4 linked regions of the Pelodiscus sinensis genome follow. The protein of the gene in region 3 purifies or fractionates together with the protein of the main gene of each other region. This does not show direct contact. Links are inferred from orthologs where the notes say so. Each region holds a gene or a part of one and is shown on either strand. Other genes may lie near its edges.

What was found.
Region 1: the proteins of CUL4A (region 3) and COPS7B purify together in Homo sapiens (affinity purification with mass spectrometry; 8 studies listed by BioGRID and IntAct, counting the BioPlex papers as one, with this or other methods). This does not show direct contact. The link is inferred for Pelodiscus sinensis from reciprocal best matches to the Homo sapiens genes CUL4A and COPS7B.
Region 2: the proteins of CUL4A (region 3) and SNRNP40 purify together in Homo sapiens (affinity purification with western blotting; 3 studies listed by BioGRID, with this or other methods). This does not show direct contact. The link is inferred for Pelodiscus sinensis from reciprocal best matches to the Homo sapiens genes CUL4A and SNRNP40.
Region 4: the proteins of CUL4A (region 3) and BRWD1 purify together in Homo sapiens (affinity purification with mass spectrometry; 3 studies listed by BioGRID and IntAct, with this or other methods). This does not show direct contact. The link is inferred for Pelodiscus sinensis from reciprocal best matches to the Homo sapiens genes CUL4A and BRWD1.

The regions. Positions count from the first base shown.
Region 1 is NC_134720.1:49,896,266-49,903,362, forward strand, and holds the start of COPS7B (COP9 signalosome complex subunit 7b), read right to left. Parts: upstream 3,018-7,097; 5' UTR 2,942-3,017; coding exon 2,870-2,941; intron 1-2,869. UniProt on the Homo sapiens protein: Component of the COP9 signalosome complex (CSN), a complex involved in various cellular and developmental processes.
Region 2 is NC_134735.1:17,396,189-17,403,962, forward strand, and holds the start of SNRNP40 (U5 small nuclear ribonucleoprotein 40 kDa protein), read right to left. Parts: upstream 3,018-7,774; 5' UTR 3,015-3,017; coding exon 2,880-3,014; intron 2,424-2,879; coding exon 2,294-2,423; intron 687-2,293; coding exon 593-686; intron 1-592. Other genes in the region: ZCCHC17 (zinc finger CCHC domain-containing protein 17), read left to right, coding at 5,722-5,787. UniProt on the Homo sapiens protein: Required for pre-mRNA splicing as component of the activated spliceosome. Component of the U5 small nuclear ribonucleoprotein (snRNP) complex and the U4/U6-U5 tri-snRNP complex, building blocks of the spliceosome.
Region 3 is NC_134711.1:237,496,958-237,504,592, reverse strand, and holds the start of CUL4A (cullin-4A), read left to right. Parts: upstream 1-4,630; 5' UTR 4,631-5,194; coding exon 5,195-5,348; intron 5,349-7,635. UniProt on the Homo sapiens protein: Core component of multiple cullin-RING-based E3 ubiquitin-protein ligase complexes which mediate the ubiquitination of target proteins. As a scaffold protein may contribute to catalysis through positioning of the substrate and the ubiquitin-conjugating enzyme.
Region 4 is NC_134711.1:188,051,969-188,059,513, reverse strand, and holds the start of BRWD1 (bromodomain and WD repeat-containing protein 1), read left to right. Parts: upstream 1-4,528; 5' UTR 4,529-4,677; coding exon 4,678-4,741; intron 4,742-4,889; coding exon 4,890-4,948; intron 4,949-5,148; coding exon 5,149-5,178; intron 5,179-5,339; coding exon 5,340-5,399; intron 5,400-7,545. UniProt on the Homo sapiens protein: May be a transcriptional activator. May be involved in chromatin remodeling. Plays a role in the regulation of cell morphology and cytoskeletal organization. Required in the control of cell shape.

The DNA.
Region 1 (7,097 bases), on a different chromosome or scaffold from region 3:
CGAAAGGACAGAAGAGGTTTTGTTGGAGGGGGAGTAGCACTATATATGAAAGAAAGCATAGAATCAAATGAAGTAAACATCTTAAATGAACCAAACTGTTACACAGAAATTCTATGGATGGTAATACCCACCACCCAATCAGAATGGTGATACTGACTGTGAAATATTCTGGGAAATTAGAGAGAATAGTAAAATAAACAATTCAATAATGATGGAGGATTTCAGCTACTCTCACATTGCATGGGTACATATCATCTCAGGATGAAAAGCAGAGAGAAAGTTTCTTGACACCTTAAATCACTGCTTCTTGGAACAACTAGTCTTAAAACCCACAAGAGGAGAGGAAATTCTTGGTTTAGTCCTAAGTGGAGCACAGGATCTGGACCAAGAGATGACTACAGCTGGGCCACTTGGTAATAGTGAACATAATATAATTAGATTTAACATCCCTGTGGAAAACAATACAGCAGCCTAACCCTGTAAGGGAAACTACACACAAATGAGGAACTTAAACAGAAATTAAAAGGTACAGTGCCAAAAGCGAACACTGCAAGCTGCAAAGAAACTTTTAAAGACACTAAAATAGAGGCACAACTTAAATGTGTACCCAAATTAAAAAACATAGTGAGAGAACCAAAAAAAGGTGCTACCAGCAAGAAAAAAGAAGCAATGAGAGACAAAAAGGCCTGGTTTAAAATGTGGAAGTTAAATCCTAATGAGGAAAAAGAAATGAGCATAAACTCTGGCAGATGAATTGTAAAAATATGATTAGGAAAGCCAAAAAAGAATTTGAAGAACAGTTAGCAAAAAACTAAAAAAGTAATAGCAATTTTTTTTAAGTACATCAGAAGCAGGAAGCCTGCTAAACAACCAGTGGGGCCACTGGTCAATTGATATGCTAAAGGAGTGCGCCAGAAAAAGTCTGACTTCAGTACCAGGCAAACTATTTGAAAGAATAGTAAAGAACAGAATTGTCAGACACATGGATGAACATAATTTGTTGGGGAAGAGTCAGCATATTTTAGAAAGGGAAATCAAGCCTCACTAGTCTATTAGAATTCTTTGAGGAGGTCAACAAGCATGTGGAAGCCAATGGATATAATGTGCTGAGATTTCCAGAAAGCCTTTGACAAGGTCCTTCACCAAAGACTTTGAAGTAAAATGAGCAGCATGGTATAAGAAGGAATATCTTTTCACGGACTGGTAACTGGTTAAGTGATAGGAGACAAAGGGTAGAAAGAAATTATCAGTTTTTAGAATAGAAGTAAGTTGTAGTTTCCCTCAGGGGTCTGTACTGGAACCAATCCTATTCAGTGTATTCATAAATGATCTGGAGAAAGGGGTAAACAGTGAAGCAGCAACATTTGCAGATAATACAAAATCGTTCAAGATAGTTAAGTCCGCAATAGACTGTGAAGAGCTGCAAAAGATTCCTACAAAACTGGGTGACTGGGCAACAGAATGGAAGATGAAATTCATCGCTGATAAATGCAAAGTAATGCCTATTGGAAAACATAATCCCAACTACCTGTCTACAATGATGGGATATATATAATAATGGAATGATGGGATTTATCTTTTGATTCCTATCATCTAATGTTACCACTCAAAAGAGCGATCTTGGAGTCATTGTGGAGAGTTCTCTGAAAACATCTACACAATATGCAGTTGCAGTCTAAAAAGCAAACAGAATGTTGGGAATCATTAAGAAAGGGATCCAAAATAAAATAGCAAATATCTTATTGCCTCTTTTTACATCTATGCTATGTCCTCAACTTGAATACTATGTGCAGATGTAGTCGTATCATCTGAAAGAAGATATTGGAATTGGAAAAGGTTCAGAAAAGGGCAACACAAATTATTAGGGATACATAATAGCTTCCGTATGAGGAGAGATTAAAAAGACTGGGTCTTTTCAGCTTGGAAAAGAGATGACTAAGGGGTGATATGATAGCAGGCTATAAAATCATGAGTGGTGTGGAGAAAGTAAATAAGGAAAAGTTATTTACTCCTTCCCATAACACAAGAACTAGTGATCAACACACGAGATTAATAGGTATCAGATTTAAAACAAATGAAAGGGAGTATTTCTTCACACAATGCAGTTTTGGCCTTTACAACATCCTCTGTCAGGGAGTTCCACAGGTCAACCTGTGGAACTCCCTGCCAGAGGATGTTGTGAAGGCCAAAACTTTAATAAAGTTCAAAAAAGAACTAGATACATTCACGGAGGACAAGTCCACCAATGGCTATTAGGCAGGGTGGTCAGGGATGGTGTCTCAAGCCTCGGTTTGTCAGGGCTGTGAATGGGCATCAGGGGGTGCTGGATCACTTGATGATTCTCTTCTGTTCATTGCCTCTGGGGCACCTGGCATCACCCACTGTCGGAAGACAGGATACTGGGCTAGATGGACCTTCGGTCTGACTCGGTATGGCCATTCTTATGTTCTTAATATTAATTACTAGATATTTGCCATGGATTATTTTTGCAAACACATGGCACCTACTTTGAGGATTGTGGATTGATCCCGAGGACAAAATCTGAATAGGATAGCATCACTTCCTCCCAAGCTGATCCTATACAGATCAGTCCAGATGGCCTCTTGACTGGACTGGAGTCATGAAACCTCCTGCCTCAGCTGCAGACCGGTATAGCTGGATGATGCTGAATGTGGAGAAATAGCTCAATAAAGCTCCAATATTACAAAAAAAGAGATCAAAATCTCCCGCTGTTTCTTTCCCTTTTTAAACAGACTCTGCGGTGATAGCCCTTTGGCTCTGCCTGCGCTGCTGTCTGCAGCCAGCAAATCATGGCTTTACTCTTTTAATCCATTTTATCTTTTAATATCGGCATTATCCTTTCACTCACATCATCTCCTCTCCTCGCAGCACTGCCGCCCGGGTCCTCTTTAGACAGTGGGTAGTTCACCTTGTTTCCCATTGGTGCCTGGCCGGGAGCCCCGCTTGTAAATCGGCAGTCACGTCACCAGTGAGTCGGGCAGCGGGGTCATGGAGACCTGGGGGGAAAGTTCTAGAATGTGCGCGGCTGTTGGGCAGTTGCTCGGGCAGGAGCCTGTTAGCCAGGTCACGGAGCCATCACGCCAAGGGGCCCGATCCACACCCCATTGAAATCAATGACACTGCCCCTAGACTATTGGGTGGCCTAGGCAGTCTCCCTTGGGAGGGAGGGCAGGAGCTGATACGGGCAGGCCCAGAGCTGTGAGGAGCATGGCAGGGAAGCACCAGGAGTCAGGCCTGCCCCTGCATTCACTGGGAGGTGGAGTGACCCGGCCCCAGCTCTCAGCCACATCACTGGGCAGGGTATTCGGGGAAAGGGTGGAAAGGCTTCTGCACTCACCGGCGGTAGGAAATGGAGTTAACAGGGCTGGGGCCAAGTTGCTTCACTTCCTTCTGCCGCTGGATGTGTGTTTGGGGGGAACGCCTGCTGCCGGTGCCAGGCTCCCACTATTGCCCTGGGCTGTGTTGCTCATGGGAAGGAGCTTGGAAGAAGAAGCGGAGCGGGGCAGAAAGAGGTAGGGTGGGGGCAGAGCATAGATAGGGGTTCAAGGAGTGGAGTGAGTGTGGGATAGGGGGGTGGGGTGAGGAGTGGCTGTCCCAAGCCCCACATGCCCCTAGAGATGGCTCTGCTTGGCACAGCCTTTGAGAGGGCCAGTTGGGGGTGGTGTTGGCTGCCAGAGCCAGCACTGGCCCATACACAGCACGCAGTTGTCTAGGGCACCACAAAATTCCGGGCAATTTGGTGTGTAGTTTGTGCATTGGTAGGGATGGCCTTGCAAAACACCATTCTCTTTGAATCTCTCCACTTGCTGCCCAGTTTCCACTTGCTGCCCAGTTTGCATCCGATTCAGGCTTCTTGTCCTCACCTTCACGGATCTTCATTGCACTGCCTTTTCCAGCTCATGTCTTTGTCTCTGCTTATGTCATGCTCACATCCCATCTGCTAGGCCAAAGAAGCCAACTTCAGCCCCTCAGTCGTATGCTTCCTCAGCAACCATTTTTGCCTCTTATTCTTGCTTCACTTTATACATGGAACATACCTAGGCCTGGTCTACACTAGGATCTTAGTCCGAAAAATCCCCCCCAGGTTGAATGTGTAAGCGGTGCGTCCACATTACTAGTTCTACTGTGAGGCCTATAAGACATTGCCAATGAGGAATGGCCTGTGGGGAAAATGGATACTTTTGTGTGTTGTATTCCTCCCCCTCCCCCCCGCCCAGCATGTGCAAGTTGCTCATCTTCTTAGATTGAGAACTCTTGGGTCAGAAACTGTGACCTAGTAAATGTATGGGAGGGGGCAAGCACGGGACCTAGAGTGGGCGGTGCGCCCCAGCTCGTGCCCGAGGCTGCAGGTGCTGCAGGGGGCAATGACCCCACCACTCACCACGAAACTTTCACCCCGCTACCTGCCACACCATGGGGCCGTGCTGGGGGCTCCCCTCTTCCACAGCCTGCGACCAGGAAATTGGGTCAGACCCCGGGCCCATCCCAGCGCTGCCACCACCTGCCCACTAGGCTCGCCCCACTGCACCTGCAACCGCCCCCTAGCGGCGGCCGCAAGCCTCAGCCCACCGCTCGGCAACCCTTGGCCACCGCTGGAGGGGAGGGGCCCGGGCCGAGTGACATCACAGGAGGAATGGAGGAGGGGGCTTCCCCGCCCCGGACAGGCCTGCGCAGTGGAATGGCCTGGTAGAGGCGAGTGGGACAGCTGCCGCTCAGAGCGCTGCCCCTCCCCTCGCACCTCCGCCGCCGGCCTTAGTGAGTGACTGTCCCTGCCGCTTACCCTGGGAAGCCGCTTCTCCCTGCACTGCCAAAAGTACCTTAAAACCTTCTCCTGGAGGAAAGGTAATCCCATGGAAAGTTTGGTTGCAGTAGCTCTTACAGTGGCCACGTTATTAGCACACAAACATACAAACATTCTCCTTATATATTAGATATTTTTTCAGGTCTTGTTTGAATATAATACAATAATCTGACGAGTGAAATTGTTGTTTGCTTATTTATAATATTTTTTATCATTTTAAAATATAAATTTAAGGTACTTTTTAAATATTTTTATATAGTACATAACTTGTTTTGTTGAAATAAAAATAAGTATAGACCAAAACAATAAGGGAAAGACTCATATTTCAGAATAATTGCTTCAGCCTGGCAAACAATAGCTTTTGAATTTTCTTTAAAGAAACACAGTGTAAACCAGGTTCATGCTAATTCTTTTTTTGCCCTGGAATTTAAATATGACATCTGGGTTGGCTGCCTTATTCTGCATCCATACCCTCCTCTCCCGCCTGCTCTAAGTGTCTGTTTGTCCCCAGAAGGATTACCAAAACGGATCAAGTGGCTTGCAAAGCTGGCCGTTATGCTATCCTTAGGATTTCTTAAACTTTGCACTTTCAAAGGTACGTGTAATATTCTTACACAGCTAATCCATGCAAGACTAACAAGTTAGAACATAAGAACATAAGAATGGCCGTACTGGGTCAGACCAAAGGTCCATCTAGCCCAGTAGCCTGTCTGCCGACAGTGGCCCAGAGGGGGTGGATCGAAGACAATGATCAAGTGATTTGTCTCCTGCCATCCTTCTCCAACCTCTGACAAACAGAGGCCAGGGACACATTTCTATCCCCTGGCTAATAGCCTTTTATGGACCTAACCTCCATGAAATTATCTAGCTTCTCTTTAAACTCTGTTATAGTCCTAGCCTTCGCAGCCTCCTCTGGCAAGGAGTTCCACAGGTTGACTACACGCTGTGTGAAGAAGAACTTTCTTTTATTAGTTTTAAACCTGCTACCCATTAACTTCATTTGTTGTCCTCTAGTTCTTCTATTATGGGAACTGTAACCAGGTGGCCTGCTAGGGGGTCGCAGGGCGCCACCAGTCCGCGGGCTCCTGCTCCGCTTCGCCCCTGTCCCCGGCTTCTACCTCACCACTACCACGGTCCACTCCCTGCGGTCCGCTCTCGACAAGCCCGCAGGCCTCGTCAGCAGGTTTCGGCTGCGTCCGGATCCCTGCGCCGCCGCTTCGGATCGCCGGCTTCCCAGATGTCCCTGCCGCCGGGATCCCCTTGGCCGTCTCCCGTCTTGCGGCGTCAGCCGCCCACGTCGGTCAGGTCCTCTCCAGGCTCTGGTCCGGTGTTGGTCCCGTCCGGTCTTTCCGCTGGACCTGTGGAGCAGGCCGAGAGCAGAATCTCCCCTGCTCCCTCCTTACCTCCCCTCTTGGCGTCCCTCCCTCCTCCCTTTTGAATTCCCCGCTTGGCGTCCTGCCGGCCCCCGCCCTTCCTCGGGCTGCCCCCGACCTCTCGGGTCCTAGCACCCGTCGGTCCGCCTCTCGGCTGATCCGCACCTGCGCGTGGCCTGCGCCGGGTTCCCCTGGCTCTGCTGCTTGTGCCGCCTCGCCGCGCTGGTCTCCCAGCGCCAGCTGACCCCCCGCGCAGGGCACGGGGCCACGGTTCCCGAGTCCGGGAGTGTGGGGGTGAGTCCCCCCATCACAGAAACTAATAAATAACTTTTCTTTATTCACTCTCTCCACACCACTCATGATTTCATATACCTCTATCATATCCCCCCTTAGTCTCCTCTTTTCTAAACTGAAAAGTCCTAGTTGCTTTAACCTCTCTTCCTATGGGACCCGTTCCAAACACCTAATCATTTTAGTTGCCCTTTTCTGAACCCTTTCCAAGGCCAAAATATCTTTTTTGAGGTGAGGAGACCACATCTGTACACAGTATTCAAGATGTGGGCATACCATAGTTTTATACAGGGGCAGTAAGATATTCTGTGTCTTATTTTCTATCCCTTTCTTAATAATTCCTAACATTCTATTTGCCTTTTTGACCGCCGCTGCACACTGTGTGGAAGTTTTCAGAGAACTATCCACAATAACTCCAAGATCTCTTTCCTGATTTGTCATAGCCAAATTAGCCCCCATCATACTGTACGTATAGTTGGGGTTATTTTTCCCGATGTGCATTACTTTACACTTAGCCACATTAAATTTCATTTGCTATTTTGTTGCCCAATCACTCAGTTTGGTGAGATCTTCTTGGAGTCCCTCACAGTCTGCTTCTGTCTTGACTATCC
Region 2 (7,774 bases), on a different chromosome or scaffold from region 3:
ATTTCATCTTCTTGACCCTGCTCAGGATGATGGGGGAGGGGGAGCCATCTCTTTTGTAAAAACCTCAGATAGCATTGGATAATCTGGAAAGCTGCCAACATCGCCTTCCTAGTTTTCCTTTTCTTATCCTGAATTGTTCCTTCGTTGTCTCTCCCATCCACTTTCCCACAGATTCACTTGCTAGGGGCGGGATGGGACGGGACGCCTGGCTTTAGATCTGCTTCCCATCCATGAGCCTTGGAACTTGCCACTTAGGTTCTACTCTTTGCTCCTGCACTCTACAACAGACGTAGCGTGTGGAGCTATTTCTGGGAGGGGGAGCCATTCAAAGAGCACCATTGCTTTTTCTCTTCAGAGCCACCAGGTGAGCACTGAAGCAATGAAGAGGAGCTGTAAAGCAACTTACATTCACCAGCAGCTAGTTCCCCACTTGCCAGTTGCAGGTACCTTTTACAAGTTTTATCCAAAGGTTACTGGCTTCATCTAGCAGCTTTTCATACCAACTCTCTCCCCAAACATTTCACAGAGTTCATTTGGAAACATCATCAAGGTAGGCTAATGACAGCTCAAGTCAGTTTCATCTGATATTTACCTGCCATCAGTATTATAGTGCAACTCCATAACTGCTCCACTGTGTCCCTTCAGAGTGGCATAATTATCACAGTCCCCATACACATTCCATAGCACTGGAAAGAAACCAAATACACATAAAACTATGTTCTACGCCCACATCATCACAGCTACACTTCCTGGGCTCACTAAAATGAAGCACTTACAATATTCAGCATAATCGCCAAACTCTCATTTTAAATAGGTTTTTAAATATGTGGAACAGAAGATGTGAAAGTTCTCCTCATCTGGGGGAAGGGTAGGGAGGCCCATGTCTCCCCATGGCCGCCACCCTTATTAACTTGTTCCTCAGCTGCCACTTGCCAGGCCAGCTGCTGCACCATCCCTGACAAAGTGCAGGGAACTTCGCTTCTCTGAGCGCCCCATCAACAGACAGAGGCGGTTGGTTAATAATGTGTTCCACAACCCGAGTCATATGAGCAGTAGGATTTTAATCCTAAATGTGAGAGTTACTGGCTAACTGATTGCTATAGGGCCTGAAATAGGAGAACTCAGCAAGGGAAAGCAAGACCAAGGATCACACTAAACAGAAAAATCTGCATCTTAATTTATTTATTAATGAAGCCGCTAAAATGTAAATAGGACTATTATTGACTTCAAAAAGTATCAGTGGCACACAGATCCATAAATAGAAGTGAATAAATTAAATCTTGGCATGTCACATCTGAAAGGTTGACAATCCCTGCCCTAGTACATTCTTAGGTTGAACAGCATGTTGTTGCAGTGAGTCCCAGAGGTTAATGATCCATTGTGTAGAAAAGTATTTCCTTTCAACAAACCTGAATGTCATCTTTGCTCCTGTATTATGAATAAGCATAAATAGAAACATCTGTTTTAACTCTTCTATACCCTTCATTTTGTATCCTTCTTAAATGTAGAGAGCTGACAGATTAGATGGGATATGAAAGGAGTCCCACATCAAGCTGTCCTTATGGAGAAGGATTTCTCATCCCTTTATAGTCCTGTATGGCTGTGCAACCCATAACTACAGTGTTGCAGTTAAATCCATATTCATACAAACAGGAATCCAAAATGTATATCTGCGTTCATAAAAATGAGTCACAGATATCTGCATCCACATCTGTGGATGTGGATACCAGGGGATATAAAGCAGATATCCATGGATTTGCAGAGCTCTAACTGTAACAATACTATGTGGCTTCTTACAAGAGTTAGGGTATGTCTACATTACCAAGTTTTGTTAACAAAATGTATATCAACACCCAAAAATTGATAAAAACAAAAATTGCCTAGAGGGTGTTCACACTTGCTCCCTCTGCTGACAGAGCATGTTCACGCTGAGGGCACTGTCATTGACAGTGTGAGCAAAGCACTGTGAGTATGTATCCCACAGTACAGTGTTGTGAGAAAGCAGAGCTGGGGGCATGGCCTGGCAGGGTAAGCAGGGGTCCACGGACTAGCAGTTGGGAACTGCTGATTTAGGGCATTAAAGAGGTTACCAACGCTTTTGAAATATGCTCAAAAGCGCACAGCTCATTACTGGCCTGCTGTCAACATTTCACCCCATTGCTCTCAGCAGCTCAGTCACTCCATTGCACTTGAATGAATGGAAAGCAGTTTACACCAGCAGTGTATTATTATTATTATTATTTTTTAAACAAACCACCCTCATAGCACAAACTACTGATCATTACAAACTCACAGATCAGTCTGTCAAATCCTGCAGATGCTAAAGTTGCTCCATTAGGGTGAAACTTGCAACAGTAAACTTCTCCTTCATGCCCCGAGAGCAGCATTATAGGTGCCTGGAGGGAAGAACAGCGTGGAGGGCCCTAAAACACAGAGGGAATGCAGACAGAAATGAAACAGAATAATAAATAATGAGCTAATGAAACCTCTGAACCAGAAGGTGGACGGTGTGGGGGAGCAGGCCAGAAAACACCCCCCCTCCCATAACTCCTTCACTAGTTTTAACTCGGGTCATATTTCCACTTTTCTGACACACACAAAATAATAATAATGGCAAAGCGCGTCTCACACCCCGCCCGCCACGGGCCCCACCTCCGATGGGGAGGCGGAGGCCCCGCGCAGCAAGAGGCCTGGTCTCGAGTCACACCAAGGCCGGTGTCAGTTCAGCGCGGAGGCTACGAACGACCCAAAGAGGCGGAGCCACGTTGCGACAGGAGTTGAGCGGCCCCCCCCGGCCCGGCCCCCGCCCCTCCGGGGAGCCTCGGGGTCACCGCCCGCGGGGGACGCGGCCCGGCCCATCCCGGGCCCCCCGCGCTCACCGCCTGCAGCAGGGCCCCCGGGGGCGGCGCCCCGCCCGGGCCGGGCCCCAGCAGCTCATGCCGGGGCCGCTTGGCCGCGGCCGCCACCAGCGCCAGCTCCGGGACCGGCCCCTTGCGCTTCTGCGGCTCGATCATCCCGGCCCGCGGCAGCCGCTCGGCCTCGGGCGTCCTGCAGCGCTAGGCCTCGCTCCGCCCGCGCCCGGCCCCCATTGGGCCGCGATGCCGCGCTCTGATTGGCTGCGAACGCCAAGCGTGCTGATTGGGCAGCGCTGGCCATGCTGGCTAGGGGATTCGCCGGAGAGTTCTAGCATCGGGCGCGCCCATTGGCTCCGTAAGTACCCCGCGCGAGTATGCCGTGCCGTGATTGGCGGGCGCAAGCTTCCTCAGCTCGAAGGGACCGGGGTGCAGGTGGGATGACGGCGGCCGCGGCGCCCTTGAGCGGGTGAGGGGGCGGCGCGGCCTCAGCCCCTTCCCCTTCCCGCGCTCGGCAGGCCCCGCTCGCGGTCCGGGCTCGCTGCTTCTGCCCGCGGGAGCCGCTGAGCGTCGCGTCCAGGCGCAGGCCGGGCCCTTTGCGCGCCCGCTGGCGTCAGGCCTGTGTCCCGGCGCGAGCGGGTTCCAACCGCCCGGGGCAGCGGCGGGAGAGCCGGCCGGGAGCCCGGTGGCCCCTCGCAGAGCGGGGCGGGGAGCCTAGAGCGGCCCCCCCCGGCCCCTCCCACGGGTACACAACCTGCCCCCCCCCCCCCCGGCTCTGGTGCGCGAGGGGGATGTGGGGAGCCCAGCAGTGAGGGGTTGTTGGGTTTGGGGCCGCTCATCTCTGTGCGGCTCCCGACTGACTCTTTCCTGTGGGTCCGTGGCCGCCACCCCCCCCCCAAAGTTCCACACTCCTGTTAGAGTCACCGATTTATTTTGGCGTAACCTCTCCTGAGTAAAAACCACTTGGTCAGCTGCGTGGAGTCTACAAGGGGCCACAGGACTCTTCATTTTCCCAAATACAGACTAGGGTTACTGACTGTGTTTAAAGTTACAGGCTAACGCAGCTACCCCTCTGAGGCCATCGGCTACCCCTGTGAAATAGGAATGAAGTGTCTGTGAGGCTGAATTCTGAGAATAGGGCAAAATTGGCTAGTTATTATCCAGAGCCAGTTTATAGTCACGTGTTCATATTTTGCTGTATCTGCCTAGGTACTTGAATACTTAGTGTTTTTGAGGTACTCTTCTGACATACCCTACTGCAGAAAGCTCTTTGAAATATATCATAGCACCCTTTTATCCAGGGAGAAACTGAGGCATAAAGTTTAGTAACTTGCTCATAATTGTACTGAAAGTTATTGGGAACTGTATCATTGAAGAACTCGGATTGTCTGTTTCCTCAACTTGTTCTCTATCCACTTGATTACACTGCCATAACGTATAGTGTGAGCACAAGACACTATGGACACATCTACACAAAAGTCGAATTAAGCCACGCAGCTTCAGCTATGTCAATTGTGTAGCTGAAGTTGAAATTAGGGATGTTAAATATTGATTAACTGATTGAATAGTTGATGGGATTTAATTGATAAGGACTAGTGCACATTCCACCTTTGAAATGTACAAGAGCACCAGTGGGGGCTCTTGGGCATTGTAAAGAGGAAGCATCTCATGGAGCCTAAGGTCAGTGGGGGACTCGGAGTCCACCCCAGGCTCTATGCAGCATTTCAGTCTCTGAAATCCACAAGAGCCCCTACTGGAACTCTTGAACATTTAAAAAAGAAAGCACTACTGCTGCTGTGCCCCGCCCCATCCCATGGAGCTGGAGCTGGGGGGAACTGACTTTTAAGCTGGCTCCCCCCAGCGCCCTTCCTCTTCAACCCTTTGTTGCCTCTTTGTGATAGCGGCAGCGAGGGGAGAGGGAGAGGGAGGAGGAGTGACTAGTTGACTAATGTGTTGACTATCCGATAAGCTTTTGCTTATCAGGTAGTCAGTCGCTTACATCCCTAGTCAAAATAGCTTAATTCGTCTCTTGGCGCTGTCTACACAGCAGGTAGACGAAGGAAGAACTCTCTTCTTTTGACTTCCTTTACTCCTTGGCTGTGTCTACACTGGCACCCTTTTCCGTAAAAGGGATGCTAATGAGACACTTCGGAGTTGCAAATGCCACAGGGGATTTAAATATCCCCCACGGCATTTGCATGAACATGGCTGCCGCTTTTTTCCGGCTCGGGGTTTTGCTGGAGAAAAGCGCCAGTCTAGACAGGATCTTGCGGAAAAGGGTTTATTTTCCGCAAGATCCCGTCTAGACTGGCGCTTTTCTCCGGCAAAACCCCGAGCCGGAAAAAAGCGGCAACCATGTTCATGCAAATGCCATGGGGGATATTTAAATCCCCTGCGGCATTTGCAATTCCAAAGAGTCTCATTAGCATCCCCTTTACGGAAAAGGGTGCCAGTGTAGACACAGCCCTTGTGAAATGAGGGTTACAGGAGTCAGAGTGAGAAGTCTTCCAGCTCGCTATTATTTCGAAATAATGTCTTGCTGTGTAGAAGCGTATTTGGTTATTTCAAAATAACATCACTTATTCTGAAATAACACATCTGTGTAGACTTACCCTATGGTATCAGATATTTAGAAATTAGTGAGAGTGAAAGCAGTGCAGATAAAAACCATCCCTGAAAAGTTTTCCCAGAGTTTATTTCTTTTATCACTAATGAAGATATTTCTTTCAATAAATGGTGTCTTTCTTTATTTCAGCTACGAATAGGGTTGCTCCACAGCAATAAATGGGACATCTAATACATGGAAACAAAGTAAGCTATAAAGGTTGGGAAAGAATTGTGGAATGCATACTCTTAGAAAACTTCCCAAATGAAGTCTGTGAGACCTGAGGCAATGGAGACTTTACCTGAACTCTATGATGTCTTCCAAGGAGAGGTATGTGTGGTGTTGCTTAGGGTCACAAAAGAAGCGTGGGAGACATGAATGGTGCAAGATACTGAGAGATAATAGAGAGCCTTTCATTTTTAAATCTTCAGTTCAGAATCAACCCTAGATACAGGCAGTAAAACTAAGTGACCAATGTAAAATGAGCTTGTGTTGTGTACTCTGGTTCATAGAGAGCAAATGTCCACATCACAAAACCCACTACTGTCACAGCTGTCTCACACTGACCTCCTGTTGGCATTCTCGGTAGAGCGTTTAAAGAATATGTAGGTTAGAGAGAGAGAAACGGAAATGAGACCCGAGGGCCATCAAAAGGGGCAGTGCCAGAGTGATGGGTTTTTTTAAAGCCATTCTCGTGATCTTGGCTTCTGGGCTCATTATTTTTGTTCACTCCTTTATGCTAGAGTTGATGCGCATTGACAGGGAGGTAAAGTCGACTTCAGTCTCTAGTGCTGCTGCCTTCTACTGGCAATCTCAGATTAAAAATGTAATACGCTTTTTTGTAAATACTAATGTTTTGAGAACCGGCTGAGACTTTTATTGCAGGTGTTATTTCATTAGATGTCTTAAAAATAAAACCACTTCAAAATAGTCACATTGCTAATGTCATTCTGAAAAGCAATATCTACTAATTTTGAGAAGATTAGCTAAGAATGTGTGTTCATAAACATGCTAGTCCACTCTTAGGATGGGAAAAGCTGTCTGCAGAAAATTCATGCTGATAATTTCTCTCAGCCAAGTCTAATTTTCGACCCAAGTGTAGGGGAATCTGAAAGACTTATTGCTTTAATTTTCACATTGTGTTGAGCTTGGGGATAAAGCTTTCCTTCTGCCTCATGCTGTGAGATACAAAAGACTTTGGCTCTTAAAGTAGGAAGCTGTTTTGAATAGCTGCTATCAAGATAATTTGTTGCTCAGTCTGGCACAACTTGAAGTTCTGAATTTCAATATTTTAGGTTCACTCCATGCTTGAACTTAGCATAAAAATCCGCAGTGCCCTTAGTTCCTTTCTTGTAATTAAAAAGGGAAGTGATATTCTGTTATCGTCTAAAGAGCCTTACGTAGTATGTTTAACTTCAAGAATGGGAGAGGACAAAGACTAGAATTAGAGATATCACGGGACTGGCAATGAGCTAAAGAGCCTCTCAAATTTCAATTGGTTCAAATCCAGCCTTAGGCCCTGATTCCAAAATAATGCTCTACACGGGTGGATCCATGCAGCACCTAATCAACTTCAGTGAAGTTCTGTGCAAACTCACTTGTCTATTTGCGTAAGTGTGGCAAAATTATTAGGGAGGGCAAGTTTTACCATCAGATGTTTGTTATAATTATGTGAAACTAGTTGGTGGGTCTCAGTCTAGATACTAGTGGACCAGTATCTATTTCAAAACCACCACTGCCACGGTTGGCACTGACCCATCTTCTAGTGGGCAGTCTCATTAGAGAGGCCTACGATTACAGGAAACCCCCACGTTACGATTGCCCGAGTTGCAACCCCCCGCACTTACAACCATTTTTGTAAGTGTGGAAGGGGCTGAAACCCCCTGACTTACGTCCTTAGCCCGCATTTACGACCGTGCACGGCGCCTATTGTAAATGTGGGTTCGAGTTACGACGCCTCTGACTTGTGACGCTTCCCCAGGAACTGATCGCATCGAATTTGGGGGTTGCCTGTAATCTGAGCATGGAGGGAAGGGTTAACTCCACCTTAGTGCTAGGATGAGGTCCTTCAGAGACATGCTGGTTTGCAGATTTGGGGATGTTTTTCTTGCCTGTCCAATGTCTGTTCCACAGAGGCTGTAAGTTCAGCATTAAATGTATTCAGATGGTAAAATGTTAACTCCTGCTGCTAAATATAGCAAATAGACGCTCTTTGAAAAATACCATTTTTCAAGATTTGTCTGTACTCTTGCAGGGCAGGAAATAATAATCCTGTGCTTTTGTTTGTGTGTGTGATGGAACAATAATTGTTATGTAG
Region 3 (7,635 bases):
GTATAGATAGTAGTATAAACTGGGGATGTGAAAGATTAACCAATAACTGGTGGGGGCTGGAGCAGCTGCTCGCCTGCCATAGGCAGGTGGCTACTCCAGTCCCACAGGGGGCTGGCTGTGGACAGGAGCTGCTCTCGGGCAGAACATCCCCCCATCCATGGCAAGCCTGGGCACCTCACAGGCAGGGACTGCACCAATGTCTGGAGCAGCCACTGTGCGCGGGGAACCCTGTCCATCCTCAACAGGGGCTGGCGGGGCTTAGGGGCCAAGAGCTGGGAGCCAGTAAAAGCCCCAGCCCCTACCCAGATACTGCTTAATTAGTTAACCAGTTAAATGTTAGATTAACCTAATGTTTAACCGTCTAATTAACTGGGATTTTACATCCCTAAAATAGTTGTATGAAGGTTGAGTTTATACTGACTTTGCTAGCATTTTTTATGTAGCCTGTTGTAAAACTAGGTGAATAACTAGATATGTTGATGCACCCTCTGAGAGATTATTCCATATCTTCAGGATTACGTATACATCTGGTTCAAAACCAGTGGGTAAGTCAGGCCCAGCCTTAGGGCAAGGTGGGCAACGCAGTTGCCTTGAGCCATGTGCCTTCAGGGCCCTGCACTACCCAGTGCCCGCCCACCCGCTCACTACCCTGGCTGGGTGCTGCCCAGCCACGCAGTGCAGCCAACCACAGCATGCTGCCTTGGACCCTGCAAACTCTTTTGCCGGGCCTGCGTTAAGTAATATCACTTATTGGATCCATCTCTTACTGGGTGATACACAAGCTTTTAAATTACAGAGCTTTTCTTCTGGTCTGGGAAATGTATTCAGTGCCTCAGCTATATACAAGTTGAAACAGATTGTTCAGCACAAGTAGTTAGTACATATTTCAAGGGACCATTCAAGGTGAGGTGGCCTATTAACTCGGGATGTAAATATTAGTTTAAAAAGTTAACCATTTAAACAATTAAAATTATATCATTTAACTAGTGAACTGAGATTGCTTCGGTGAGCTGGCTAAGAGTAGCCAGGACTGGCGTTCCAGGGTACGTCTAGACTACAGGCTTTTGTCAACAAAAGTTTTGTCAACAGATACTGTCGACAAAGCTTCTGTCGACAAAGAGCGTCTAGACTACATCCAGTTCTGTCGACAAAGCAAGCCACTTTGTCGACATGACAGTGTGGACGCAAAGGACAGTGTAGATGCAATAATGCCTTCTGTCGACAAAACTCTGTCGACAAAAGGTGTTATTCCTCGTAGAATGAGGTTTACAGCTGTCGACAGAACTCAGTGGCAGTGCGGACGCAGGTATAGTTTTGTCGACAAAAGTGGACTTTTGTCGACAAACCACTGTAGTCTAGACACACCCCCAGTGGGGCTGGCCAGATACAGCCCACAGCTGTTCTAGGCTGGCTGGCACTCTGTGGATAGGGCTGGGGTCTCACCTGCAAGCCATGGACAGGAGTGAGGCTACTCCTGCCCACTGCAGCTGGGACTGCAGACATGTTTGAGGTCCTGCCTATTACCTACGGATGGGGCTGGGCTGGGGCTGCTCCAACATGGCTGTGACCAGGATCCTGCCTGCCTGTTCCATGGCAGAGGTTCTGCTAGCAGGCCTGACCATTGTCTCTTGGGTCCTGGCTGGCCACTGTGGTTGGGGCAGAAGCCCCATGAGTTATATTACCCACTGCAGCCAGGGCCCTACCTACATGCTTGAAGTGGCCAGGGCTAGGGTCTCTGGCTGGCCAGCCTGATGTGGCCAGGGTTAAGGGGTAAGATCTGGTTAACAGTAAGCCTAGTATCAGTTAACCATTTAAACTTTTACATCCTATTATTAACACCCTTCATGGTACATTAAGGTAAAAAATTTCACAAATGACCATAAACATAAAAAATGTCCAGTTCTCTACTGTTGTTATTATTGATACAGCTTCTTCTATGGTAAGAGTGCTGATTTTAAACAGTGTGCTGTCTACATCTGCTCTGAGTAGATTTAGATGACATGATGGTTAAAACATGGGTTGGTCTATACCTGTGCTCCTATATTCACTATTTTTTAAGCTGCTACAACCATAGCAAGAGTGGGAAATTAAAACAACAACAACAACAAACAGCTAGTGAAGCCCTGGGCCCTTCTTGTCAGAGACACCATTTCATTTAGTGGGTGTTCATCACTCTGAAAATTAAGATGTGTTTCAGGCTGAGAAGAGGAAACTAGAACTCCAAGAAATGTTGGACTTTGTCTTTAATAGGATGAATAGTATGAACTTTTTTTATCTTGGCCAGTTTTATTCACAAGATGCATGGTGTTACATAACCACCTCAGGTACCTATATAAGAACAGTCATACTGGGTCAGACAAAGGTCCATCTAGCCCAGTATCCTGTCTTCCAATAGTGGCCAAAGAGAGGTGTCCCAGAGGAAGTGAACAAAACTAAGGATGTTAAATTTTGATTAATTAATTGAATAGTTGATGGGATTTCCATCGACTATTCGATTAGTCGATAAGAACTTCCACGTTCCTCCTTTGAAATGTACAAGAACCCCAGTGGGAGCTCTTGTGCTTTTCAAAGTGGAAGCCCTGGGGTCAACGGGGGACCCCTGCTAGGGACTCTTGTACATTTCAAAGCTGGCATGCCACCTGGAGCCTGGTCCCAGGCTCTATGCAGCATTCCAACTTTAAAATGCACAAGAACCCCAGTGGGGGCTCTTGTGCATTTCAAAGCGGAAGCGACCATGTGGAGCCTGGGGCCAGTGTGGGATTCTGAGTCTCCCACTTACCCCAGGCTCCATGTGGCACTTCCACTTTGAAATGTACAAGAGCCCCATCAGGGACTCTTGTACTTTTCAAAGTTAGCTGCACTCCTGCCCCCTTCCTCGGAGCTAGAGGGAACCAGCTTTTAAGCCGGCTCCCTCCAGCACCCGCATTCTCTTCCCTTCCCTTGCTGCCTCTTTGTGATAAAGGCAGCAAGCCGGGGGGGGGGGGGGGGGGAAGAGGAGGGGAGTGACTAGTTGACTATTTGATAGGCTTTTGCTTATCGAATAGTCAACTGGTTGATTAGTCACTTACAACCCTAAACAGAACAGGATCACCAAGTGATCCATTCTGTCGCTCATTCCCAACGCTCTGACAAACAGAGGTTAGAGACACCATTCCTGTCCATGCTGGCTAGTAGTCATTGATGAACCTATCCTCCATGAATTTTATCTAGTTTTCGAACCCCTTTAAAGTCTGGTCTTCACAACATCCTCTGGAAAGGAATTCCATGTGCTGTGTGAAGAAATACTTCCTTTTGCTTGTCTTAAACCTGCTACCTATTTCATTTGATGACCCCTAATTCTTGTGTTATAAGAACAAGTACAGTAAACTTCCGATAATCCGGCACCTTTAGGACCCAGGGGGTACTGGATTATCAAATATGCCGGACTATCAGAAGGGGGGGGCTATGAGGGGTCTGGGGTGGGGGGAATGCCACCCCAGACCCCTCATAGCCCCCCCTTCGGATAGTCCGGCTCTGCCCCAGGGATCCCCGATTCAGACGCTGCTGATCAGTTTTAGCAGCAGCTGAATCGGGGACGTCTGGGCCAGAGCAGCTGGGGTGCTGCCAGGTTGGTCCCGCAGCGCCGAGGGGCCACGCTATGGGACCAACCCGGCAGCACCCCAGCTGCTCTGTCCCCGGCTTCCCCGATTCAGTTGTTGGTCATTTTCAGCAGCGGCTGAATTGGGGAAGCCCGGCACAGAGCAGCTCCAATTGTCCGGCTGCCCGGAGCACTTCCGGGTTCCTGATGGTGCCAGACCATCAGGAGTGCCAGAGCTTTGGATGCCGGACCAATGGAGTTTTACTGTACATAGATTTCCTTATTTACTTTCTCCATGTCAGTCATGATTTTATAGACCACTATCATATAAGAACATAAGAACGGCCATACTGGGTCAGACCAATAGTCCATCCAGCCCAGTATCTTGTCTGCCGACAGTGGCCAATACCAGATGTCATGGGGGAGGGGGGAACACAACAGGTAATCCTGATGTGATTCCTTCCTTGTTCCTGTCACCCACCTCCAGGGAAACAGAGACTAGGAACACCATTCCTACCCATCCTGGCTAATAGCCATCGATGGACCTAACCTCCATGAATCTATCTAGCTCTTTTTTGAATCCTGTTAAAATTCTAGCCTTCACCACATCCTCTGGCAAGGAGTTCCATAGGTTGACTGTGTGCTGAGTGAAGAAAAAACTTCCTTTTGTTTGATTTAAACCTGCTGCCTATTAATTTCACTTGGTGACCACTAGTTCTTATATTGTTTGTTGACTAAAGATTTAATACACCTGTGTTTAATGATGTTCAAAATTTGAATGTATATTCTAATACAAATAGCAAATTATTAAGTGTGACTTAGTAGTTTTCTTATTTTTGAGTCAATTATGATTTTTTTTTTTAGGCCCTAAATTTTTCATAGGCCCTAGGCACTGTGCCTACTGGCTAATCTGAACAGAATAGCAAAAGAATGACAGCTACGCTGAAACTTGCCAACCCTCCCTGATTTGCCTGGGGTCTCCCAAGAATTAAAGACTAAGCTTGAATGAAAGATTACAGGTCATGTGATGAAGTCTCCAGAAATCCGGCCAACCTAAACTGACAACCCGGTGCCTAGGTCAACTAAGGCCGCTTGAAAAACATGGAGCGCCTCAGTGCTGCTCCTTCACCGGGCTGAAGTAACGCGGCTGGAAACCGCTCCCAGCGGGGTCCGCGGAGAAGGGCCGGGAGGAAAGACGCCGAGCGGGGCGCTCCCCGCTGCTCGCCCTGGGCCCCGTGCTCCCAGCCTGCGCCAGCCTCGAGACCCCTTCGCTTTCTCCTGGGCCTCCAGGGGGAGCCCAGCGACGCCTCCTCTCACTGTGTCCCCGGGCCGGAACTGCTCTCCCGCCCGCCCCGCCGCGGAAGGGTCCGAGTCCAGCCAGGGGCCGCCCCGCAGGCGCCTCCGCTCCCCCGCGAATCCCCTGCCCGGCCGCCTCGGGGGCCATCTTGTGCGCGGAGCCGGCTGCAGCCGCGGCCTGTCGCCCTCCCCCTCGCCAGCGGGGCGGGGTTGATGGGGCCCCCGGAGCCGGGGCGCCGCGGGGGGAGGCCGGGCTGGCGGTGACTCTCCGCAGCCGCTGCCAGCAGGCGGCCGAGGCCGGGCAGCGCGCAGGGGGCGGCCATGGCCGGCGAGCCGCAGAGGAAGCCGCACCTGCCGGCGCTGGGGGAACACACCAACGGGCTCACCAAGCCCGCCGCGCTGGCGGCAGCCCGGGCCGGGGGCGCTGCTGCCGCCGCCGCCGCCTCCAAGAAACTCGTGATCAAGAACTTCAGAGGTGGGCCTGGGCCGGGGAGCGGGCGGCGGCTCGAGGCGTCCCGTGTCCAGCCCCCCTCCCGGCCGGGCCCCCGGTGGACCCCGCGGCCCTGACCTCGGCCCCCTGCTGCCCCCGCCCCTTCCCCGCTGAGGGGGCCGCCGGGCCCGGCTGGGAGGGGCCCTGGCTGCGGGCTGCTGCGCACACTGACAGGCGGGGGAGCCAGCCCAGGTGCCCGGCCCACCCTGTGGTTTGGGGGCGCTGTGCAGCCTCCAGCTCGAGCCCCGGGAGCCCGTGCAGCCTGCACCCTCTGAGAGCAGCGCCGCTCCCGAGGTGGGGTGGTGTCGGGGCTGCTCTAGTTCCTTCCTCCCCAAGAAATAGGTGCCAGGCTGGGTTTGCTCTGGAAAGTGACTGTGAAAAGGCCTTAACTCCGCTAACTTTTGTCTCAACAGCTACAAGGGCTCTTACTCAGCCTGCTCCTATGTATAGGCAGTGACTTTTTTTGGCAGACAAGGGCCTGATCCTGTAGCCCCAAGGAAGTTAATTCAGCTGACTTACATATGCGAGGTTCTGAGCCTAGGGGCCCTAGCATTGCCAGATGGTTTCAACAAAAATACTGGACACACTTGACATTACATCACAATCTACATTACATCTTATTTAGAAAATACCGGACATTTATACTTTCTCATTTGTATTTTCTCAATTTGTTTCCTTAACAGAAAGCTCAAATACTGGACTGTCCGGTTCAAAACCAGACACCTGGCAATCCTAAGGGACCCTCATCTGTTGCTCCCAAAGACAGGCTAATCTTACCCAAGGGGCTGGAACAATTTTTTGTAGTTAGGAATGTGTATGATGGAAGCCCTGTATTTGGTGTTTGTTGTTAATAGTCATAGCCTGGGATGCCAGAGCACTTCCATCACTTCTGGTTCCAGCATCACTGCTACTGTCTTACAGATAGGAGATATGATAAGGATGTTAAATATCGGTTAATTGAGCAGTTGATTAACCTCATGAGTTCTTTTCGATTACTTGACTATTTTATAGTCCCCAGGAGCCGGGCCAGCAACCAGCGTGCTTTAGCCCCACTCCTGAGGAGCCCCTTGGCAGCAGCGTGGGGTGCCAGGCGGGGGCTGGTCCATGAGGGAGGCCAGTTTAAAAACCATCTCCCCTCACTGACTGGCTGCCTGTCACCCTGTGCTGCTGCTTCTCACACAGAGACAGCAGCGCGGGATGGCAGCAGCCCCTGACTGTGCGTGTGTGTGTGTGTGTCTGAACTCCCAGACCCAGTATGAGCCGGAACTGGGCCAGTCTGCCTGCCCGCCTGGCTCCTAATACACTTTAAATTCAGAGCCACAGAGGGGGTTGGTTCCAGACTAGTGAAAGCCTGGACTGAGCTGGGCTGCCTGCCCACCCGGCTACTAATACACTTCAAATGCAGAGCTGTAGCAGGGGTTGGTCCTGGACCCAGCACAAGCCAGGACTGAGCTGAGCTGCTAAAAAATTTACTGTCGGGGTTGGGGTGGGGAATGCACATAGTCTATAGCAATTATCTATAAGCTTTTGCTTATCGATTATTGACTATACTATTACACTCCTAGGAAATGAGGCATAAAAAAGTGAAGTGATTTGTTGATGGTCACACAGCACATCAGTGATGTAGATGGCAACAGAACCCAACCATTCTGTCAGACAAGTCCAGTGTCTGGCTACTGTACTGTCTTAGTATTGCCTTTTCAGCTAAGTGATGCAGTTTCTGTATAACAGTTTGTGTTGCAGTCTTTCTAACGTTTCAGTTAAGAGCAAGTTCTGAAATCAAATATATGTTATGTGTAGAAAGTTCTATTACATGCAGTGTAGTTAGAGATAACGTATAGCAATGGTTTGGCGGTCAGATACTTTTTAAAGAAAATATATTGAAATAAAACTAGTATAGACAGTGTTAAAGCTAATTAAGAATGGTGTCGAAGATGTTGCAGTAGACCAAACTAATTTGCTAGAATTTGGAATGCTAAATTAAGCTTTATTAAATAAAAAAATCTTAAATTGTAATACTTAATTAGTCATTAGTGCATTCTGAAATAGTATTCTTGGACATGTTTAACAAATGTTGTCCAGGATCATGCAGGCTCTTCTATCTGTGCAGATGTATTTTATTGGGGATCTGTGTATGTGAAGAGGAGCAGCCCATGTAAAACAACTTGTGGCAGCTGGGCCTTTGTATGCACCATTCTGAGATAAAAACAGCCCTTAGTGGCTTTTGCCAATGTTATATGGTATTGCAAATATTCCTTTTTTTTTTTTAAAT
Region 4 (7,545 bases), about 49 Mb from region 3:
GGGGCTCTTGTGCAGAGACAGAGAAGTGGGACCAATGGCTGCTGCTGCTATATCCCTTTAAAAATGCAGTGTGGCAGCGGGGCAGGAGGGCTCTTGTGCTGAAATAGAGAAGCAGACGGGCGGCCACTTAAAAATGCAGAGTGGCAGCATGAGGGTTGTCTGAAAGCCCACGGGGGACCAGAGAATGAACCTATCTTTGTGCACTGGCTCCTCTCTGTCCCTTTAAGACTGTGTGTGAGGATGATCAAGTAGTTGATAATGCTACAGGATAAGCTCCTGCTTATCGGGTAGTCAACTACTTCACATCCCTAGCAAGAAACCTAGTACAAACTGCCTGATTCCCCAGCATTTAAGAAATGTGTTTCTTTCCATGAGACTATATCCATCTTTGACAGTCACTCTCTCTCTGTCCATTGTCACAATGAATCGCACATCCCTCAGAAGTATGCTCACTGTAGCAACCTAGCCAAGCATGACAAATTCCTATGCTTAAAGCTGACCCTGAGGGGAGAAAAAGTAATCATTTGAGCCGGACTCCAACGCAGGACAGGAAACCTGCCCTTCAGGTGACTCCTTGGGCAGATCCATGTTATCCAAAGAGAGCATCCGATCCTCCAAAATGCAAGGAAAAGAGCCATTACTTCCACTACAAAGAGAACCACATAAGTGGTCTCCTACCAGGTTACTGTCCTCCATATGGGTGAGCACCCCCTTGATGTACCTCTGGCACCATCCACATGAGAACCTTTGCTGTGCTCCACCAAAAGGAAAAGGAGTCCAAGCACATGTCCAGGCAAGTCTCCTCCTCTATATCACTGACAACTCTGGTGAGAGAGACAGTGCTGAAGCACTCACCATTGGCCATGTACTCACAACAGTCTCCAGCAGCTACATTGGCACCAATTAATAAAACCATGATGGCACGGACCACTCTGAGCAAGATGACACAAGTCATCTATATAGACACTAGTATCATCTAAATCAGTGCCATCAACATCAACAGTGCCGAAACTGCAACAATTCTTACAACATATAGGCTCCTCGGTGCCAGTCACCCCTGTTTGGCACTGATGGCTCTCCCAAGCACACTAGCATTGCCCATCTTATAAGAACAGCCATACTGGGTAAGATCAAAGGTCCATCTAGGTCAATATCCTGTCTACTAACAGTGGCCAATACTAGATTTCCTGGAGGGAGAGAACAGAAAAGGTAATCACGTGATTCCTCCCCTGTCATCCATTTCCAGCCGCTGACAGAGGCTAGAGACACCATTCCTAACCATTCCGGATAATAAGTATTTGATGGACCTAACCTCCATGAATTTATCTAGTTCTTTTTTGAAACCTGTTAAAGTCCTGGTCTTCACAACATCCTCTGGCAAGGAGTTTCATACTGTGTGAAGAAAAACTTCCTTTTGTTTGTTTTAAATCTGCTACCTATTAATTTCATTTGGTGACACTTAATTCTTATGTTATGGGAACAAGTAAATAACTTTTCCTTATTCATTTTTTCCACACCAGTCGTCATTTTATAGACCTCCATCATATTCCTCCCCTCCACCCCCACACACTTTAGTCTCCTCTTTCCTAAGCTGGAAAGTCCTAGCCTTTTTAATTTCTCTTCATATGGGATCCATAGCTAAATTAGTACTCAATTTTGTATGTATAGTTGGGATTATTTTTTCTAATGTGCATTACTTTACATTTATCAACATTAAATTTCATTTGCCATTTTGCAGCCCAATCACTTAGGGTGTATCTACACTGCACCGTAACTGGAAATAAGATATGCAATTTGAGCTATGTAAATTGTGTGTCTTATTTCAGTGCTATTTCAAAATAGTTTATTTCATCATTTGGTGCTGTCTATACAGTGCCAAATTTCAAAATAAAGTGCTATTCCGAAATGTTCCTTACTCATTGTAGAGTGAGGTTTACAGGGACATCAGAAGAGTGAACTTGAAATAATGGGCTTGCTGTGAAGACATGGGATAGCTATTTTGGGATACTCTTGTATCCCGAATCTTGAGCAGTTTACTATTATTATTGTATTAGGCAAAAAGACCAGTGAACAGGAAAGTCACTTTTTTGTCTCAAAACTCTTCTCTCAGAAGAAAGTCATTTTTTGTGTCCCAGCCCCAGCACAATCTTGTTGGCCGATCAATGGGAGCTGCTAGGGCTGTGCTTGAGGCACAGGCAGTGTGAGGGGGCCCCCTCTCCAAGGGGTGCACGGCACACAGAGAATATATGGCCCCTGCAGCTGGCTGCCTTGAGTGGCGTGCAGGAGGCAGGGAGCCTGCCTGAGGGTCCCATTGAGATGCTGGCCAAGAGCTGCCTAAAGTAAGTGCCTCTTGGCCAGAGTCTGCACTCGACAACCCATCCTCTCCTGCACCCCACCTACTTGCCCCAGGTCACAAACCAAACCCTCTGCACCCCTGTCCCAGGTCACAACTCCCTCCCAGACCATCCATTCCCTCCTATATACCCCTTCGCCAGGTCAGAATCCTCTCCTACACCTATACTGCTCCTTGACCCTCCACTCCAATCACCTGCCCCAGGTCACAACCCCTTCCTGACTTGTGTCACCCAAACTCTATATCCCCTCCTACACCCTTGTATCAGGTTTCAGCCCCTGAACCACCTCCTACCCTCCTCCAGTTTAGAATTCTCTCCTGCACCCATATCCCCTCTTAGGCCCAGTACCCTCTCCTGCACCCCAATCCCTTGCCTCAGTCACAATCCCCTCCTTCATCCAAACTCCCTCTCAGACGGTACACTCCTTCCTGCCTCCCAGTCTTTACCCCAAGCTCCCTTCTGCACCCAACCTCCATCCCAGATCCCACACCTCCATTAATATAATGGAAGAGTTCGGCCCTTGACCACTTAAATTGTTGGAGTGACCCCACATCAAACATTTTTGCCCACCTCGATGTACATGACGGAGTATCATCCATTTGAAGATATAACAAGAAAGTGCAACTTGATTGATGAATATTTCTTTGTGTGTTGTATCCTGTAAATAATTTAACCTCATACTTAACTTTGCTTCATTTATTGTTGCTGTTTGGTTCCAGTTAATATGTTATTCAGTACAAGTTACTCCTGTTGGAATCCTGCAACAGTATTATGTCCCCAAATGCAACAACTGCAGAATTCAAACAGGAATAACAAGTTTATGTTGTATAATTCTTCTGGAACCCATTTTGTTAGCAACAACTAGTGTGAGAAACATTAAAACAAGAATATTACTAATAATAACCCAAGGTCCAGTTTAATTATTGCTTGAATCCTTTGTAGATCTCTAAACTGCACTGTCAAATTGACTTCCTATTTCTGAGGCAGGCCAAAGGTGATTTTATCCTGATGCTTAGATCTATAAGAAACAGAAGGGAAGATCTGTCTGTGGCTAACAGGTGAATTTCTCCTTTCATTCTCTGAATGAAATAACACCATGGTGGATGGAGTGGTAGCAGCCTCATGGAAATGCAAATCGTGTTTTGTTAGTCTTTCAGGTGCTACTAAACTATTTGTTGTTTAAGTTTTTCCTGTTACAGACTAACTCTGCTACCCCTCTGAAGCTTTGGAAAATATTTTTGACACTTCTGGGGAATTGCCTGCTGTTGGTAACCCCCACTGGCAAAGCACAGCACCACCTATAGCCCTTAAATAGTCCTTAAAACATCACCAGCTTTCCTGATCCGAACCTTATTTGTAAGTTCTCATAGCCAAGCTGAAGGCAGCGTTAAGGGGAAAGGTGCTAAGCAGGAAGAGAGAGTGACCTGAGCATCTATGCAAGACAGAATGTCGGGGGGGGGGGGGGGGATTACAAACCCTCTGGGCTCTTAGCTAGAAGCCCAGCCTAGGGCGGCGCTTGGCCCACCTTGAGCTCTCGGAACCGTCAAGCCAGAATCACCCTGGAAACAACACGGGGCCCGAAGGGGTCCGAGCAAGGCGGGGTCCTTCCTGCAGCCGCCCGAGGCGCTAGTTCAGCGTCGGCGGCTCCTGCGCGGTGTCTTGGGGGCGGAGGGGAGGCTCGGGGCCCCACAATGGGCTGCCGGACTCCACATGGCGGAGGGGAGCTGCCGCCACAAGCGGGCGCCTCCTGCCTCAGGGCCCCGCAGATGGAGGCGAGGGGGGAGCAGGACGGGCCCCGCCGCCGCGGTGCAGCTGCCGCAGGATCCGGCCACACGCGCCCCTCTAGACTCCAACTCCCCCCCCCCCCCCCATTTCGCCAACGTAAGGACGTTCTCTCGGTGACTCATCACGCCCTCCCTCCATCCGCCTCCACGGCCGGACCTCGTTTTCTCCTGCGACCACAGCAGCGACGTCCCTTGCGCCGCATTAGATCCAGCACCCATAGGCCGCCCGCGGGCTGTTTTTCCCCTTTGGTGCGATCAAAGAATACAAACATCCCCGTCCGCCGTCAATCCCAGTCTCCCCAGCGAGGGACTATTTTTTTTCGTCCGCCTCCTTCCCCCGCCCCCCGCGGAGGACAGCCTCGGTGCCGAGGCGAGTCGCTCCGCGGCAATGGCGGCGGGGCCGAGGCTGAGCTAGCGCGAGGAGGGGCGGGGGAGACGGGCGCTCGGTGGGGGAGGAGGCGCTGAGAGGATTATGCCGAACCGGGCCCTGCCCGCGCCACACGCTGCCTGAGCCCGACTCCCGCTGCGCCGCCCCCGACATGGCCGAGCCCTCGGCCGCCTCCTGCTCCCCCGGCGGCTCGTCCCTGCCGCTCATTGAATCAGGTAACAGCGGGGCGCGGGAGGGAGCCGGCCGGGCGCCGCCGGTTCCTGCTGCTCCCCCGCCGCCATCTTCCTGATCATGATTATGAATTATAGTCGCTGAGGGGCTCCCCCGCCCCGAGCTCATCGCTCTCTCCGTCTCTCCCCGCAGAGCTCTACTTCCTCGTCGCCCGCTTCCTCACCACCGGGCCCTGCCGGCGCGCGGCGGAGGTGAGTAGAGCCCGGCAGTGCCCGCCCGCCTGCCGCCGCGGCGGCTGCTGCTGCCACCCAGGGCTCCGGTGCCTTCCTGGCCCAGAGCCCTGTGCAGCTGCGGCGGCAGCAGCAGTAGCAGCCGCGGAAGAGTCGGCGAGTTTGGTGGTTTCCTCCCCCTCCCCTAACTCGTGTGCATCTGTTTCTTCCTTCCCCTGCAGGTGCTGGTTCAGGAGTTGGAGCAGCACCAGGTGCGTGCGTGTGAGACGCTCTGATGCCTTCTCTTCTCGCCCTTTCCCCTTTTTTAAAGCCACCTATTAAAAACAAATGAAAAACAAAACAACACACATTGTTTTGATGTTGGTCTTTCCACTCTTTTAATCACACTTTTTTTTTTTCTTTCTCAATCTAGTTACTTCCTAAAAGGTTGGATTGGGAAGGAAATGAGCATTGTAGAAGTTATGAAGATTTGGTGAGATTTAAAAAAAAAAAAAAAAACCTTTTGAATTAGAATAACAATGTTAGATGCTTCAGTTAATAAAAGAAAACCTGCAACAATTATTTTATCCTGAGTCTGGCTTGATACAGGAGGCTGATTTTTAGAAGGGGTATTTGATTTATTTACCTTAAATTACCAAACAAAAACATAAGAGGTTAGAGGTGTTTTTAATTGGAGGATATTGTTATGTAGCATAGGCGGGACTTGTGACTGCCACTAGACCTTTTTCCTGCCTACCTATGGGGAAGAGCCAATCTGTTAAGAGGCTTCATTTCTGTGTTTCACTAGGAGACTTGTTAAAGAGGCTTTGATTGGACAGTGTTTATTTTCTTACTGGTTTCCTTCATCTGCTGATTTCAACAGATTAAGAGAAAACAAAATCACTAGTACAGAAATTGGCATGTGGGTTTGTAGTAGTCTGTTTTACTGGCTATAGTTTGTTGTTGTTGTTAATCAAAATATTCCAAAAGATGCCCTTTGGTTCAGGGCTGCACAACTTGTGCCAAATTAATTGCAATAAATGTATTTACAACAAATTCAGCATATAGATTAACTGTTTTTGGTGTTCTGTCTTACTATTTCTAAAATACTGCATGATGTGTGGCTACGTGAATACGAATTAAAGGGAGGACAACATTTATAGTTTACTTATATTTTTTTAAAAGATATATATAGTTCCAAGTAATAAACCTGCCTCAGAATTCCTCAGCTAATCTTTGGAGTTTTACAATAAAATTCTGTTTTTCTTATGCTTTTCCATACTTTGACAAAGTACAGTGGTATATAGCAGAAGGTATAGGGGAAGGCATGAAACTACGTACACAGAATTAAAAATGGAAAAATATAGGTTAAAAGTGAAAAGATAGCTACAAATGTAATTTTGAATTTGGCAGTTCCCTTAATTGAGCAAATTTATATAGTGCTGCTTTAAATCAGGATAGGTCCTGCTCCCTTTATTTGCATGAAGTCAGCAAGGTTACTTTCCAAGATCTGGCCTAAATTTAGGTAAGCACAGTAAGTTTTCTTCTAAAGGATGTTAAGCCCAATTCTTCTGCAAAAGCTTTGATGCTGGCAAACTCCTATGCTGAGTCCCATTGACTTTGGTTGGGCTGTATTATGTGTGTGTCTCCCTCCTCCCCAACAACAAAATCCCCATCTGTGCTGCTAATATTTTAAGTAATAAAGCTTTCTATTTTTAAAAAAATATTTGCCATTTATGCTGTTTAGGTACTTAAAATAGGCTAATCAGTTGCATGCTGTTTGGGTTCCAGGAACAGCTGGCCAGTGTTAAGGCTCAAATCCTGCAATGTTGACCATTTCGGTGTATCCCTTCTTATATGTGAAGTGCTTATTACAGAACTGCTCTCTCAAAAACTCAAAGCCGACAATTAAAAAAAAATATCATTAGGCTTCTTAAAACTTCCTTTAACAAAACTTATGGTAGATATAAATTACATGAAGGTACAAGTATTTCTTATAAACTGAGTTTTGTAAATGTATTTGAAGGTGAAAATTAAGCTTTCTGCTTTGAAGAAAGTTTGCCACATCTTAATATAAACAGATACAAGAGTACTGACCAAGATGCTTCAATCACTGATGAAAAAGATGTAAATGTACTTATTGGCGTACCAAATACTGTTTAGGAATCAGTAACATAATTATCTTATATATTCAGACGTTTGTGTGCAGTAACACTGACTCTTTTCAGTGAATTCATTTCTCAAGACTTCAGACACAAAGTAATTCATAGACTTTATTTCAGTGTTTGATTATTCATACTTTCTTTTCAGGCCAAAAAACAATATAAATGTTAAGTTTTAGAATTTTAAAATGACACTAACTTAAAAATCCAGTACTGCAAGTCATTTAATTAATGCCACTTACTGTCACTAATAATAAACATTCTATATAAATGTCCTGTTTATTACTTTTTATTTATGTCTGTTAAGTCAGTTCCACTATCAGGTACTTAGTGCTTCAGTATTTGGGCTTTAAACACTGCAGGGGATTTCTTAAAATTTCAGTGTTAAAAGTCATTTTTATGTTTAAATTAAAGTGAATTTTCTCTTCTAAATTTTATATATTTTTAAAATAAAACTTTAAGCTAATTTAAGTTGAG